Linked DNA regions of Pelodiscus sinensis. The protein of the gene in region 1 interacts with the protein of each later gene in a biochemical or structural test. Links are inferred from orthologs where the notes say so. Each region holds a gene or a part of one and is shown in the gene's direction. Other genes may lie near its edges.

Evidence for each region. The genes of interacting proteins can lie anywhere in the genome.
Region 2: the proteins of PIAS2 (region 1) and SUMO3 form a complex in vitro, tested with the Homo sapiens proteins (2 studies listed by BioGRID, with this or other methods). The link is inferred for Pelodiscus sinensis from reciprocal best matches to the Homo sapiens genes PIAS2 and SUMO3.

The regions. Positions count from the first base shown.
Region 1 is NC_134716.1:117,838,494-117,846,340, forward strand, and holds the start of PIAS2 (E3 SUMO-protein ligase PIAS2), read left to right. Parts: upstream 1-4,773; 5' UTR 4,774-4,870; coding exon 4,871-5,068; intron 5,069-7,847. Other genes in the region: KATNAL2 (katanin p60 ATPase-containing subunit A-like 2), read right to left, coding at 516-566. UniProt on the Homo sapiens protein: Functions as an E3-type small ubiquitin-like modifier (SUMO) ligase, stabilizing the interaction between UBE2I and the substrate, and as a SUMO-tethering factor.
Region 2 is NC_134720.1:3,174,893-3,182,587, reverse strand, and holds the start of SUMO3 (small ubiquitin-related modifier 3), read left to right. Parts: upstream 1-4,662; 5' UTR 4,663-4,826; coding exon 4,827-4,847; intron 4,848-7,695. UniProt on the Homo sapiens protein: Ubiquitin-like protein which can be covalently attached to target lysines either as a monomer or as a lysine-linked polymer. Does not seem to be involved in protein degradation and may function as an antagonist of ubiquitin in the degradation process.

The DNA.
Region 1 (7,847 bases):
CCATCTCCAATGGGATCAGAAAAGGATTTCATGCCTTGCCCAGACTGATACAAAGGAGTCTGGAGCATAAAAATTGTATCAAATATTCAATGGAGGCTACATTTGCTGTTAAGCAGCAGATGGCGATAAAGGGACAGGTGACAGAATGCACTCAGCCGAACAAGCTCCTGTGTTAGTCTGTAAAGGGGGGGGGGGGGGGGGGGAGAAGTCACACAGCGAACTGGAGTCTCTGCTTGAGCAGGAGGATGGATTCCCACAGGTGTACGGACACCGGGGACTCCCCCCAGCCATGGGCGGTGAGCCCAGTCCTGAGGAGACGCTCCACGACTGACAATACCGCGCCCCGAAACTGAAAGGCGGACGCACGGACACCTCCCGCTGCTGTTATCTGCGCCTGCGCACCGAGAACGCCTGCGGCAGGGCGGTCTCTCTTTGCGCGTGCGCGGTCATGGCGCTCCCAGCTGCCCCGTCTCCATAGTAACGGAGAAGCGCAGCGGCCTTTCGGGGGCACTCACCGCCTCCTTGGCCTGGTGGGTGGTCTTCAGCGTCTGGTAGGAAAGCTCCATGGTTGCGGGGTACGCGGAGAGAGACCCGCTTCTCTCACGGTATAAGCGGGAAAGTAAAACCCACTCGGAGACACCGGGCACCGACCCCACAACGACTCATCGGCACACCGCTCGGGTGGAGAGGGAGGGCCTGTCTGAGGCGCTGACCAATCAGCGGGCGGGGTGGCGGGCGTTGTCCGTTGTCTTGACCTATCAGAGTGCCGGGAGGCGGGGATTGTCTTTAGAACTGTCCAATCACAGAATTACAAAAAAAACCCGAGCGGCTTGACCTACTGGCCAATCGTCATATAGGGAGGCAAGGCCCGCCGGGGATACTGGCCAATCACCACATCGGACAACGGCGCGTGCCCCTGTCTGCAGCTGAGCCTGGGCTGTGCGGAGAACGTGCGGGATAGAGCCCTGCTCCGCGCTGCCTGTCCCCGCTGGGCGCGGAGAGCAGCTGGGGGCAGGCATCCCTCCTCCACACCGGGCCTGGGCACCGGTCTGAATGAGCCTAGACCCCACCCCATCATGCCTTTATTCCATGCCCAGCCCACCCTGCCATTAGCTCAGTGCCCAGGCCCAGCCCAACTCCACTGCCATTAGCTTCTTGTTCCGTTCCCTGTTCCCCCCATTAGCTCCTCACTCCATGCCAGCTGTCAGTACATGCCCACTCTGCCATTAGTTCTTTGCACGTCGGAGCAGAAGCAGCATAGGGCCCTTGTCAACAGTTCCAGCCCTGCCCTTATCTCCCTTCCTAGCAGGGCATGGTCTCATGGCCCTGGAACATCTCAGAAGGCACTCGCCCCGGCTGTGTCTCGACTAGCAAGTTTTTCCACAAAAGCAGCTGCTTTTGCAGAAGAACTTGCCAGCTGTCTACACTGGCCACTTGAATTTCCGCAAGAACACTGACGATCTCATGTAAGAAATCAGTGCTTCTTGCGGAAATACTATGCTGCTCCCGTTCGGGCAAAAGTCCTTTTGCGCAAAAGTGTTTGCGCAAAAGGACCAGTGTAGACAGCTCAGATTTGTTTTGCGCAAAAAAGCCCCGATCGCGAAAATGGCAATGGGGGCTTTTTTTGCACAAAAGCACATCTTGATTGGCACGGACCCTTTTCTGCAAAAAGTGCTTTTGTGAAAAAGCGTCTGTGCTAATCGAGATGCTATTTTTTGCAAATGCTTTTAACGGAAAACTTTTTCATTAAAAGCATTTGCAGAAAATCATGCCAGTCTAGATGTAGCCCCTGTTTTCATCCTCTGTCCACAGCAGGTATATTCAGAGGTATATGGGACATCTCCCAGAACATGCCCTCATTTACAAACCACTACCTGCACCTGATAAACCTTGATGTGGTTTATCAGCTAAGGAGATGAGATGTCCTAGAGATTAGTGGTTAAAGAGGCATTTTTGATAGGGAGTGTTAAGGGTGGAGTGGGGCTCAGGCAGTTAAGAATAGAATAGAGAATAATGTGAAAGATATAATGGGGGCTGGAGGAGTGTGTCTTGACAGACCATATGTAGGGGGCACAAAAGCTAAATTGGTTTAGGAGAGTACAAGTATAAATGGCATGAATTTATCCAAAGATAATTAAGGGTGGTGGTGTGGAAGCACTGAACCAACTGAATTTAAAACAAGTTCAGTACAACTGATGGCTTAATTAAAAATGTTTCAAGCCACTAGCATAGAAATAAGGCCCTACTGGTAAAGCCAATCTTAAATCTCTACTGTGCATCAGATAAGACTGCTTATGGAAGTAGGAATAAGAGATCCTCCGGAATAGGGCTTTATTCCGGAGGATTGGGCCAGTCTAGATGCTTTTTTCCGGCTTTTCCCCAAGCCGGAAAAAAGCGGCGGACATCTTTATTTAAATCCCCCGTGGATTTCCCTATTCTGAAGTTGAAAATTAGCATGCCCCTTTCGGAAAAGGGGCCAGTGTAGACGTAGCCTATGTGTCTAGTAGAGGACATGATTGATAAACTTCACACAGTCCACTGTCTCCCACATCCTGCACTAGTTTCCAAGGGCTCTAATTTCCAAAGATTACATGGCCTTCTGACTGATGGGATAAGCAGGAATTCAACTATTCAATAAACTTTTTCCTGTGGTACTGGGAATAGTGGATGGCATGGATATGAAAAATCGTAAACTGAGACAGCTGCATCAAGCATCATTGTACTTAAACTGTGAAACATGATAGCAGGATGCAATGCACAACCGGAATCTATAGACACATACAAAATTCCATACATCCTGCCATTACTCATAAATGTGGACACTATCTACCAAAGGTGAAGGTTGCTTGGTAAGGAGAAGGAAATAAGCCATGAACCATCGAAGTGTTTCCCTCTTCCCGCTGTTCCTATCTCGAGGAGTTGGACCCAGTTACCTTACTGGAAACTTTAAAGGCCATAGAATCTGGGACCTGAAGAATTCTGAATTATAGCAGGCACTGTTGGCAGTGCCCCTCTACTATATATATTGGTCAAACTGGATGTTCTCTACGTGAAAGAATCAATGGACACAAATTGGATATACATGAAGAAAATACTCAGAAGCCAGTGGCAGAACATTTCTGTTCACCTAACCATAATCTCACAGTTCTGAAGGTGGTGGTCTTGTCACAGGCCAGTTCCTCAAGCCAAATAGACAGGGAAGACTTGGAATTACAATATATATGCAAATTCAATTCAATTAATTATGGACTTATTCAAGATATGGGGTGGTGGAAACTTTATCAATGAAGGTGCTAACTACTTTCTAAATGGTATCCTTCTTGACTTACCCATCCACTGACTTTCATCTTTATCTACTCAGGTTTAACACCCTTTCTCCTGATACTTTATGCATAGAGATAGGGGGGTAGGTGACAGGTTTAACACACTTCCCACCCCCTTCCCTTCTCCTATTTATTTCGAGTTTCTTTATCCTCTAATCATAACTCCAGTCATCTGAAGAAGTGGGCTGTGCCCACAAAAGCTCATGATACCATGTTTTGTTAGTCTATAAAGTGCTACCAGACCATTTGCTTGCTGGTTTTTTTCTATGTTGTAAAGTATTTGTAAAAACTCAAACCCCTATCTTGCAGATGGTTCTGCAGATGCAAGTCCCTGTAACTATGCAGAACAAGTTGCAGGCTCATGGTTGCAGTTGGCAATTTAGTGGCTTACAAGGAAGTGGGCAATCAGGTAATCCAGATGAGTAGAGGAGAAAAACATATGAAACCATTTAATATAAATATTTTACTTAAATTAATAATGGTCAATATAACAATTGTATTTCTTGACAGTAAACATTTTCCTGGTGTTTGCAACTACTACTTTGGAGCACTGTATGAGAACAGGAAAGAGAAACAGAGCTCGCGTGTTTGTCAAAGCCCATCAAAGTACAAAAAGTAAGCAGTGACGAATAAATATAAATTAACTTTCTTTGTAAGCTGTTACTATTAGTACTATAACTAAGGAAATTTTACTTTAACCTGATAACATGCCTAGTTTAGAACAATACAGATTTTTTTATTGGTTCATACAACAGACACAGGGTTGAGTTATGCTGCTGCCTTCCATTTCTAAGTTTTGCTGTTCCAAACTGCAGGGCCTCAGTCCATTTCAGAAATTAGACGCAGTGGGTGTATTTCCAACAAAAATTGTTTTCTTCAGCTATAGATAATAGAATAATAAGGCTTCTAAAAGCCAGAGCACAAATTGAAAATAAATGAGAGTAGGACTGTATCTCCACCAGGCTTTAAAAATGTTAGCACCTGTGTAAAGAGGGTGTTAAATGCTACTGAATTAGAATTCTCCTCTCACCTTCATTTGTGCTAATATGTTACACTCTCTTTCCACAAGACAATGGATCTGATGCAGAACTTGCAGTTTAAAGTCTTTATGACTAAACATAATCCCATATAGACTTAAAACACAGTCTGTCCCCACTGCTACTTTCTTTGTATCCATCATTCAGTAAGGCTGGATAACACAGGGCTTAAAATGCTAATAAGCCTAATTTGTGAGCAGCTGTGTGGTTTCTAACTGCCTGCCCCAAGGTTTAAACCCTGGCTTGCAATCACCCATTTGGCTTTCCTGGTGCTATCAGTATTTTATTAGGCAACAAAGCTATGGTAGACTCAGTATCACCAACATGCATGGCAAAGGGCCTTGAAAAGATTATTATTATGCTAATGATGTATGTCCCTGTTAACCAGCCTATCCCTATGAGGTGAAAGAGCATCTGGCTTCTGGAGAGTTTGCTCCCCGGTATGAGTAGTACTTTGGTATAGAAAACCCTGCATTATTGGCTTCCCTAGTAAGAGGTACTGCTTTGCTGATGGCTACTTCACAGCAAGGCAAGGTGTCTGCTCCACAGAGAGCTGCCTCATCATTCTGCTCTGTGCCTTTCACTACAAAACAAGAGAGGCCAGAAGGCCAAAGTGTGGGAGATGCTCCTAGGGCTGTGCCAGTGGCCCCAAGGAGGCTGAGAAGAAGGAGGAAGTGGAAGAAGCTGCCAAGAGAAGTCACAATTGAGGTAAGCTTGTTTAAAGCTTATAGAAGGCAGGAGAGGCTGTCTTTTTAATAGGCTTTGACACCCTCAGCAGCCTGAGTGGCTTATTATCTGTGGTTGATGGCTGGTCAATACATTGTATGCAGGGGCACTCAAAAGCTGGGGTTTATCTGTGAGCACAAAAGGTAGTTTAAAACTCTTTGGGAATGCTGATGGGCTGATGCACCAGGAATGGGGGAAGGGAAGATTTCCCCCAGAAGAAGAGAAACTCAAAGGGGAGAAACTTAAAAAACAACAAATAGTCAGGTATCACTTTAAAGACTAACAGAGAGACTGTTCAGGCCTGGAGTAGGAAATGAATGGGGAAGGCCCTTTGGGGGAGGGGGAGAAAGGAAAAAGGGAAGGGGTCCCTGAGGAGGAAAGGGGAAGGCAGCTTTGGGAGGAGGACCTTGGAAGGGGAAGAAGACTTGTGAAAAGTGGGGCCTGGAAAAGAGAGAGCATTGTGGAAGGTGGAAAGTAGGGAGGCCGATTAAGAGAAGATCTAGAAATGGTTGGGGTGGAAAACTGGAGACAGGGCGAGAAGGAGGAATGTAGAGAAGGAGGAAGAGTTGAAAAAAGTAGTTATCGAGGAAATTGAATCCAAAGGACAAATGGGAAACAGTAGACTAGAAAGTAAGGTAGATTAATGTCCTTTCTAATAACCTGTTAGGTGTCAAAACATTGCAAAAACAGTCTGTTTGCTTAGCTCACCTGATATTGGAATATGTGATTCTGTGGGTTACTGGGTGGATAGACAGACATAGATGTGAATTGGAAGGGGATAGAGAAGCCAAATATCCCTCTGTGCGAAGGTGAAAATATCCTGTTTTGTGGGTGTTCTATAGATCTGATTCTGTTTTCATATGTAACTGAAGTGAAAGATATGAGGGTGTGGTGTGTGTCTACCATGAGACTGACCATAATGGGTCAGCCTTCTTTCCTCCAACTCCCTCACCCAGACCAGCCACAATGGGTTTGTCTTTTGTTTTTGAATAGGGTGTGTTTATAACAGAATTGAACAATTGTGACAACTATCATTGTTAAACATGAGTATAAAGTCAGTGTAGATAGCACAAGTCATCCCTGATCATTTCATAGAATACTAGGACTGGAAGGGACCTCGAGAGGTCATCGAGTCCAGTCCCCTGCCCCCATGGCCGGACTAAATACTGTCTAGACCATCCCTGATAGACATTTATCTAACCTACTCTTAAATCTCTCCAGAGATGGGGTTTCTACAACCTCCCTGGGCAATTTATTCCAGTGTTTGACTACCCTGACAGTTAAGACATTTTTCCTAATGTCCAACCTAAACCTCCCTTGCTGCAGTTTAAGCCCATTGCTTCTTGTTTTATCCTCAGAGGCCAAGATGAACAAGTTTTCTCCCTCCTCCTTATGACACCCTTTTAGACACCTGAAAATGGCTATCATGTCCCCCCTCAGTCTTCTCTTTTCTAAACTTAACAAACCCAATTTTCAGCCTTCCTTCATAGGTCATGTTCTCTAGATCTTTAATCATTCTTGTTGCTCTTCTCTGGACCCTCTCCAATTTCTCCACATCTTTCTTGAAATGTGGTGCCCAGAACTGGACACAATATTCCAACTGAGGCCTAACCAGTGCAGAGTAGAGAGGAAGAATGACATTTAGATCCCATGGGTTCAGCAAGGTTTATCTTCAACCAGCTGACCTATTACACACAAAGGTCTCTGTCTGAATTGACCTCCATTTTGTATTGTACACCGAATAAATGTGACTCCTTGAGGTAACAAAATGACACAATCTTCTAGAGTTGTCAAGCCAACTAGAGAGCATAGAAGTAGAGGCTGCCTATGGCATAGCTCTATGAGCCTCCCCAGAAGAGTAAAGGCTGTGCAATGTTTTCAGTCTTCAATGGCCAACAGAACTGATTGGGCTTGAGGAGGAATTTTGCATGTTGTCTCCTGTGCCAGTGCATTTGAAGTCTAACTTTAGTATGCACTTCCCAGAAGGAATTATCCAGAATTCTACCTGACAACTCCTGCTGCAAGTGGCCTGCTGCACAAGCGATGGCTAACTCATGTAATTCAGAGCTCTTTGTCTTAATGTTTTAAAGCCATATTTAACTTCTAACAAAATATAGAAAAAGTGCCTCTGCTTGCTAACTGCAGGACACTATTTGGAATTTCAAAACTTTCTGGGGCAGGAAGCCTGTATCTTTGCTTTCTAATGTCTCTCCAGGTCTCTTCACTTTCTCCCTCCTTGAGCTGGCCTGGTTGGTTGGTTGGTTGTTGATTCCATCATTCCTTTTTTATTTTAGCAAATCAGTTTTTGATTTAACAGCAGTATTGTCAACCAAACTGAACATTGTGACTGGGCAATTATTGTAACTTGAGATTATCTCTAGCTACTTTTGAAAATACACTTTTCAGTTGCACCTCAATGTTAGTTTTGCTGTAAATGTCTCAGCGTTTCCTTTGCAGCAGGAGACCCATTTTTCTTTTTCAGATTTACTGCTTTGTGACATTTTCTGCTTCATTTTTTATTAATAAAATGAATCTCATTGTCGCCACTTCTGTTGTGATGAGACTGTATCCAATAATAAATGGAAAAAACTGAGACCAATGATATCATTCTAGTCCATATATATTATATACACACACTGCACTTTAACTTGTTCAGACTCAAAATGTTCACTATACTAGCTCTCATTAATAGAATAACAATGCTTCTTATAAAAATAAACAAAAATGTGTGCTTCAACTTTCGCATTTGTGTCCAAAAGAA
Region 2 (7,695 bases), on another chromosome or scaffold:
GCTATCTCTGTTCCTTATGTGTATTGTGTAACTTGTATTGCTTCTACAAGGGATGTATGTCACACTGATGTATGTGAATTATTGCTTTGTATGCACATACGTATTCTCCTTTGCAAATGTATGCTTACAACTCCTTCCACATACATACATGTATTTATATGTATACATTTATGTGGTTTTGTATGCAAGTCTTTTAATAGAATCTATGGCTAGAAGGAATGTGCGAGATCTAGTCTGACCTTTTGTATAACATGTCTTGTATATGTATTAGCACAACATGCCAGGATCCATAGGAGCCAAATACATTCCCCAGTGTATGTATACGTATGTGCACTTTTTGTGCACTGGTCTGAATTGTGTGCATTTATTTGTATACATGTCTGTTACTATTGTATATGCAGGAGTTGTGCATACATGTATGTTAGTTGTGGGGTTTGTGCATCTATGCATACTTTGTGGGGGAAATAGCATCTATGCATACTTTGTGCATGTTTTGTACATGTGTGCATCCATGTTGGCATGTGGATACACTATAAACAGCTCAGGATGCATGTTTATGCATGTCTTTTCATTTACAAAAACATGTGCCTGTTTTCCTATATGCTCATACATGTTTATGCAGGCATATTCATTAGTGTATATTGGTTCATGTTTATTTCTATGTGTATATATGTTGGCCATTGGCCACACAGAGGGCTATAGCTATCTATATGTCCATTAGTGTACATGGGGGTGTATTTTGCATGTGTACACGGGAGAGTCATGAGCAGTCACACAAGGGAACACAAGTACAGGCGCTCCCAGACTTGTGATGTGATTGGTTCTGGGGGAAGCGGTGCAAGGCGGGGGCGTTGTAACTCGAACCTACGTTTACAATAGGTGCCATGCGGTGTTGTAATTACAGGCCAAGGATGTAAGGCGGGGGTTTCCAGCCCCTTCCACACTTACAAAAACGGTCGTAAGTGGGTGGGGGGGGGGTCGCAACTTGGGCTGGATGAAAGGGGGGGGTTTCCTGTATTTGTACGCCTCTATGCAGCCTCAGTTGCCCCATCTTTAAAATGGGGAGGACAGTACCACGCTCAAGCTGCGGGTGCACAGTGGCGGCTCGGAGCCGGACATTGTGTGTCTGTGCTGGGGGGTGTCAGACAGGGAAGGGGCTGCCAGGGGCTACCCCCTCCACCCCCCCCCTCGCCCACCAGGCCAGTACTCCTGGAGGGCAGATGTAATTGTGGCAGTACCAGGACTTGGGGGAAGCTGCCCCCCCTCCCTCAGGCTGTGGGAGGCGCTGCCCCAGGGGCCCCTGTGCTGCCCCCCCAGGCTCTGAGAGGCGCTGCCCCGGGGCCCCCGTGCTGCCCCCCCAAGCTCTGAGAGGCGCTGCCCCGGGGGCCCCGTGCTGCCCCCCCAGGCTCTGAGAGGCGCTGACCCAGGGCCCCATGCTGCCCCCCCCAAGCTCTGAGAGGCGCTGACCCAGGGCCCCGTGCTGCTCCCCCAGGCTCTGAGAGGCGCTGCCCCCCCCCCAGGCTCTGAGAGGCGCTGACCATGGGGCCCCCGTGCTGCCCCCCCCAGGCTCTGAGAGGCGCTGCCCCGGGGCCCCCGTGCTGCCCCCCCAGGCTCTGAGAGGCGCTGCCCCGGGGCCCCTGTGCTGCCCCCCCCCAGGCTCTGAGAGGCGCTGCCCCGGGGGCCCCGTGCTGCCCCCCCAGGCTCTGAGAGGTGCTGCCCCCCCAGGCTCTGAGAGGCGCTGACCCGGGGGCCCCCGTGCTGCTCCCCCCAGGCTCTGAGAGGCGCTGCCCCGGGGGTCCCCGTGCTGCCCCCCCAGGCTCTGAGAGGCGCTGCCCCGGGGCCCCTGTGCTGCCCCCCCAGGCTCTGAGAGGCGCTGCCCCAGGGGCCCCCGTGCTGCCCCCCCAGGCTCTGAGAGGTGCTGCCCCCCCAGGCTCTGAGAGGCGCTGACCCGGGGGCCCCCGTGCTGCTCCCCCCAGGCTCTGAGAGGCGCTGCCCCCCCCAGGCTCTGAGAGGCGCTGCCCCCCCCAGGCTCTGAGAGGCGCTGCCCCGGGGGTCCCCGTGCTGCCCCCCCAGGCTCTGAGAGGCACTGCCCCGGGGCCCCTGTGCTGCCCCCCCAGGCTCTGAGAGGCGCTGCCCCAGGGGCCCCCGTGCTGCCCCCCCAAGCTCTGAGAGGCGCTGCCCCGGGGGCCCCGTGCTGCCCCCCCAGGCTCTGAGAGGCGCTGACCCAGGGCCCCATGCTGCCCCCCCAAGCTCTGAGAGGCGCTGCCCCGGGGGCCCCGTGCTGCCCCCCCAGGCTCTGAGAGGCGCTGCCCCAGGGGCCCCCGTGCTGCCCCCCCAAGCTCTGAGAGGCGCTGCCCCCCCCAGGCTCTGAGAGGCGCTGACCATGGGGCCCCCGTGCTACTCCCCCCAGGCTCTGAGGCACGCTGACCATGGGGCCCCCGTGCTGCTCCCCCCAGGCTCTGAGGCGCGCTGACCCGGGGGCCCCCGTGCTGCCCCCCCAGGCTCTGAGGCGCGCTGACCCGGGGGCCCCGTGCTGCCCCCCCAGGCTCTGAGGCGCGCTGACCCGGGGGCCCCGTGCTGCCCCCCCCCCAGGCTCTGAGAGGCGCTGCCCCGGGGCCCCCGTGCTGCCCCCCCCCCAGGCTCTGAGAGGCGCTGCCCCGGGGCCCCCGTGCTGCCCCCCCCCAGGCTCTGAGAGGCGCTGCCCCGGGGCCCCCGTGCTGCCCCCCCCCCCCAGGCTCTGAGAGGCGCTGCCCCGGGGGCCCCCGTGCTGCCCCCCCCCCAGGCTCTGAGAGGCGCTGACCCGGGGGCCCCCGTGCTGCCCCCCCCCCAGGCTCTGAGAGGCGCTGACCCGGGGGCCCCCGTGCTGCCCCCCCCCAGGCTCTGGGAGGCGCTGCCCCGGGGGCCCCGTGCTGCCCCCCCCAGGCTCTGAGAGGCGCTGCCCCAGGGGCCCCCGTGCTGCCCCCCCCCAGGCTCTGGGAGTCGCTGCCCCGGGGGCCCCCGTGCTGCCCCCCCCCAGGCTCTGGGAGGCGCTGCCCCGGGGGCCCCCGTGCTGCCCCCCCAGGCTCTGGGAGGCGCTGCCCCGGGGGCCCCCGTGCTGCCCCCCCCAGGCTCTGAGAGGCGCTGCCCCGGGGCCCCCGTGCTGCCCCCCCAGGCTCTGGGTGGCGCTGCCCCGGGGGCCCCCGTGCTGCCCCCCCCAGGCTCTGAGAGGCGCTGCCCCGGGGCCCCCGTGCTGCCCCCCCCCAGGCTCTGAGAGGCGCTGCCCGGGGGGCCCCCGTGCTGCCCCCCCCCAGGCTCTGAGAGGCGCTGCCCCGGGGGCCCCCGTGCTGCCCCCCCCCAGGCTCTGAGAGGCGCTGCCCCGGGGGCCCCCGTGCTGCCCCCCCCAGGCTCTGAGAGGCGCTGCCCCGGGGGCCCCCGTGCTGCCCCCCCCCAGGCTCTGAGAGGCGCTGCCCCGGGGGCCCCCGTGCTGCCCCCCCCCAGGCTCTGAGAGGCGCTGCCCCGGGGGCCCCCGTGCTGCCCCCCCCCAGGCTCTGAGAGGCGCTGCCCCGGGGCCCCCGTGCTGCCCCCCCCCAGGCTCTGAGAGGCGCTGCCCCGAGGGCCCCCGTGCTGCCCCCCCCCAGGCTCTGAGAGGCGCTGCCCCGAGGGCCCCCGCGCTGCCCCCCCCAGGCTCTGAGAGGCGCTGCCCCGGGGCCCCCGCGCTGCCCCCCCCAGGCTCTGAGAGGCGCTGCCCCGGGGGCCCCCGTGCTGCCCCCCCAGGCTCTGGGAGGCGCTGCCCCGGGGCCCCCGTGCTGCCCCCCCCAGGCTCTGGGAGGCGCTGCCCCGGGGCCCCCGTGCTGCCCCCCCCAGGCTCTGGGAGGCGCTGCCCCGGGGCCCCCGTGCTGCCCCCCCCCAGGCTCTGAGAGGCGCTGCCCCGGGGCCCCCGTGCTGCCCCCCCCAGGCTCTGGGAGGCGCTGCCCCGGGGCCCCTGTGCTGCCCCCCCCAGGCTCTGGGAGGCGCTGCCCCGGGGCCCCCGTGCTGCCCCCCCCAGGCTCTGAGAGGCGCTGCCCCGGGGCCCCCGTGCTGCCCCCCCCAGGCTCTGGGAGGCGCTGCCCCGGGGCCCCCGTGCTGCCCCCCCCCCAGGCTCTGAGAGGCGCTGCCCCGGGGGCCCCCGTGCTGCCCCCCCCAGGCTCTGAGAGGCGCTGCCCCGGGGCCCCCGTGCTGCCCCCCCCAGGCTCTGAGAGGCGCTGCCCCGGGGCCCCCGTGCTGCCCCCCCCAGGCTCTGAGAGGCGCTGACCCGGGGGCCCCCGTGCTGCCCCCCCCCCAGGCTCTGAGAGGCGCTGCCCCGGGGGCCCCCGTGCTGCCCCCCCCAGGCTCTGAGAGGCGCTGCCCCGGGGCCCCCGTGCTGCCCCCCCCCAGGCTCTGAGAGGCGCTGCCCCGGGGCCCCCGTGCTGCCCCCCCCCAAGCTCTGAGAGGCGCTGCCCCGGGGCCCCCGTGCTGCCCCCCCCCAGGCTCTGAGAGGCGCTGCCCCGGGGGCCCCCGTGCTGCCCCCCCCAAGCACTGTGGGGCGCTCCCTTGGCCCCTCCATGTTGGCGCCCCGCACCAGTTCCGGTTCCCCGATGACGCACTTCCGAGCGCCCCGCCCTGCCTCCGCCCCTAAAGCGCGCCCCCGACAAGCATCGCTCGCGAGCGCGCCTCGTGAGCGCGCGCCGGCACGTGGCCCCCGCCGGAGCCAATCAGGGGCCGGGGATTCGGGGGGCGAAGCGCGCGCTCGCGGGCAGTTGCGGCGGTTGCGAGGCGGGAGCCCGGAGCGTGACTGTGCCCGCGCCAGGCCGGACTCGTCCGACGCCGCCATGTCCGAGGAGAAGCCCAAGGTAACGGCCTGCGCGGGACGGGCTCCCCCCGCCCCCGCCCGCGAGGGATGCCGGGAGCGCGGCCTGGCTGCGGGCCAGGCCCCGGGAGCGGCCGCGCGGGGCCGTCGGGGGAGCGCCCGCCCCGTGGCCCCGCCCCAAGCGCGGCCTGAGGCCTGGTGTGGGGGAGGGGCGTCCGGGTAGGGCCTGTGGCAAGTCCCTGGGCCCGGCCCCGCCCCCCAGGGGACCCCTGGCCCGGGAGCGGGGGGGACGTGCCCCGGCCGAGGCCTCGCCCGGCTAGCCGGAACGCCCAGCGTGGCCCGGGGGCTCCGGCCCGGCCGTGGGGTGAGACGCCCAGCCCCTTTCGGTACCAGGCGCGCTCACACAGAGAACACGAGCCGTCGGAAAGCGGGACCTGGACGTCGTCTGGAAAGCCACCGGCTGGATTGCCACTTCGGGACTCGCCATTGAAGAGGAAGAGATTTGTGCCAAAAGATGGAAAGCGAATCCGTTGATTAGCCAATGCCTCTTTCAGGTGGTCCCTGTACATTCTTTAAGGGACGGTGTTGCAGCAGTGCACAGAAAACGTCCTTGGTACGGGCTGGCATTGGGCCTCATTGATGGAGGCAGTGGTACTTGGTGGGTTCTTGCTCAGTTCTTTGATTCTGAAACTTGTGGAAGCTTCTGACTTTCCTCTTCAGGGTTTTAACAATTGTCGGTCATCAGCAGCGCTCGACAAGTCATTGAATCTACTCGCCACGTTTCTTCCGGTCGCCCCATTCATCGGCGGCGCTTGCATGTGCAATGCGGGTCTTGCGCATGCGCACTGCGGGGCTGGTGAACAGATTTCGCCACTGTTTGTCAAGCCCTGGTCATCAGGATCTTGAGAAACTGAAGAACTTCTTGTCACCTGGAACTAGAACACTCATTCTTAAGCTGATGATAATTGAGAAACTGTTAAGTTTATTTAGTGGGATGAGGAGGCCAGAAATTAAGTGTTTGGGAATTACTGAGAAGACCTGTGTGACTAATCTTCAGAGCCCATGTGTCAGGAGGTATGGTTCAGGAGGAGAAAGTTCTTCAGTCTTCCTGTTGAGTTGATGGGCTCCTTGGCTGGCAAGATTTTGCTGTATAGAAAAGACGCTTCCACCTGTTGCCTGATGCAAGAAAAGAGATGAAAGATTTGGCAACCCTGGATTTGTTGGAAGTTGTGGTGACTGAAATTTTCCCTTGAATCCCTGAAAGAGCATTGGTTGGGCAAGAGCTCATTTAAGTCTCAAAAATTCTTTGGTGTCTTTTTGAGGGATCCCATGAAAAGTGTAATTTCACCAAAAGGCGTTTCAATGACAGAGGTGATGGTCACAGGAAAGTATCTTGAAGAGCCTGCGGTCATGGCATTGTTTACGTTGATTGAGAGAGAGAGACCCACAATTGGTCAGTTCAGTCCAGTCAGTAGTCAGGAGTTCTTTTGGATTCCTCACTAACATTGATTGAGCTCTCACTTGTCAGTATCTGCAAGCGGTGCTTACTTCTGTGTCTGTTTAGCTAGGGAAACTCTGTCCCATCTAGATGGACAAAGAGCTGCTAGTGCAGAAGGCTACAGCACATCAGCAGCAACACAGACATATCACATCTGTCCTCTGTCCTCTATGCTGGCTTCCCATAGAACCAGCAAATCAAGGTTTCAGTTGTTACCTTCAAAGTGCTCCTTGGCCTGAGCCAAGTACCTAAAGGATTGTCTAAAACTCAGAGGCAAAGAGCATGGTTAACAGCTCTGCTCCTGTAGCACTGTAGAAATCTCAACAATAAGAGTAAAGCTTGTCTGTGCAGGAGACCGATTTCTTCAGAGGTTGTCTGAGATGCTGGAATGAGCTACCCCAAGGATGAAGTACCACCACAAACCTCACCATTTTCTGATTCAAGGGCAAGACCCATCTCTTTCATCTAGCCTTCTCCACTCTTTAACAACATATATTTATATAAAAAAAGCCGTAGGGGTGGAAGCAGACACTACTGAACAATCATACTTCCCTGAACACGTTTCTCCCTCTAGGGAGAGGATGAGAACAAATAACATATGACAGTAGTCACATCACGCAGCATGTTACTGGAAGGCGTTCAGATGCTATTGAGATCCGTGCATTGTAAAAGCATATAGAATGAGATTGACCTAGTAGGTCTATGTCCAAAGCGCTAAGCCAAGCTAGAATGTTTCAGAAAGAGTCCTGCTAGAAAACTTAGCAATGATGTAGATTGTTATATAGGAAACAGAGTGCTAACTGGTCAATCTTTAGCTTTTTCTTGACTTTTGTGGGCAGTCTTAGATTTAGGATGTTGCATGGAGTGTATAATAAAGATGTGAGCAAAAACAGGTGGTGTAAAATTGTTTTGTAGGACAGTGAGCAGATATTCAGAGACCCTTTCCAGTGAGTTTTTAAACATGTGGCCCACAGAATCCTTAATGGTTCTTTTCCTTCCACTGAGATTAGAAAGTTCGTGTGCTGGAAGCAGTCTTAAGCTGAAAGAAGGGAGGCTCAATCTAAGGGCAAGGAGGACTGGATTTTCCTAGCTGTACTTGGTGTAGCTTTTCTGTAGCTCTGCTCTTAGATATTTTTTTTTCTCTGGATTAGGGATGTTATCCGGTTAACTGGCAATCATCACCCTAAAAGGCTAATGCTTATTGGGTCGTCTTAACCAGTAGGGTGCTGGAGCAGTAAAGCCTCCTGCTCAGGAGCCGCTCTTACATGCAGAGCTTACCCATTTGTGTTGATAACTTGTGTGAATGTTTATGATAGGGATGTTAAATTGCGTTTAATCAACTAATTGACTAGTGGCTCTTAATACATTTAAAAAGCAGAGGCGCAGCATCCAG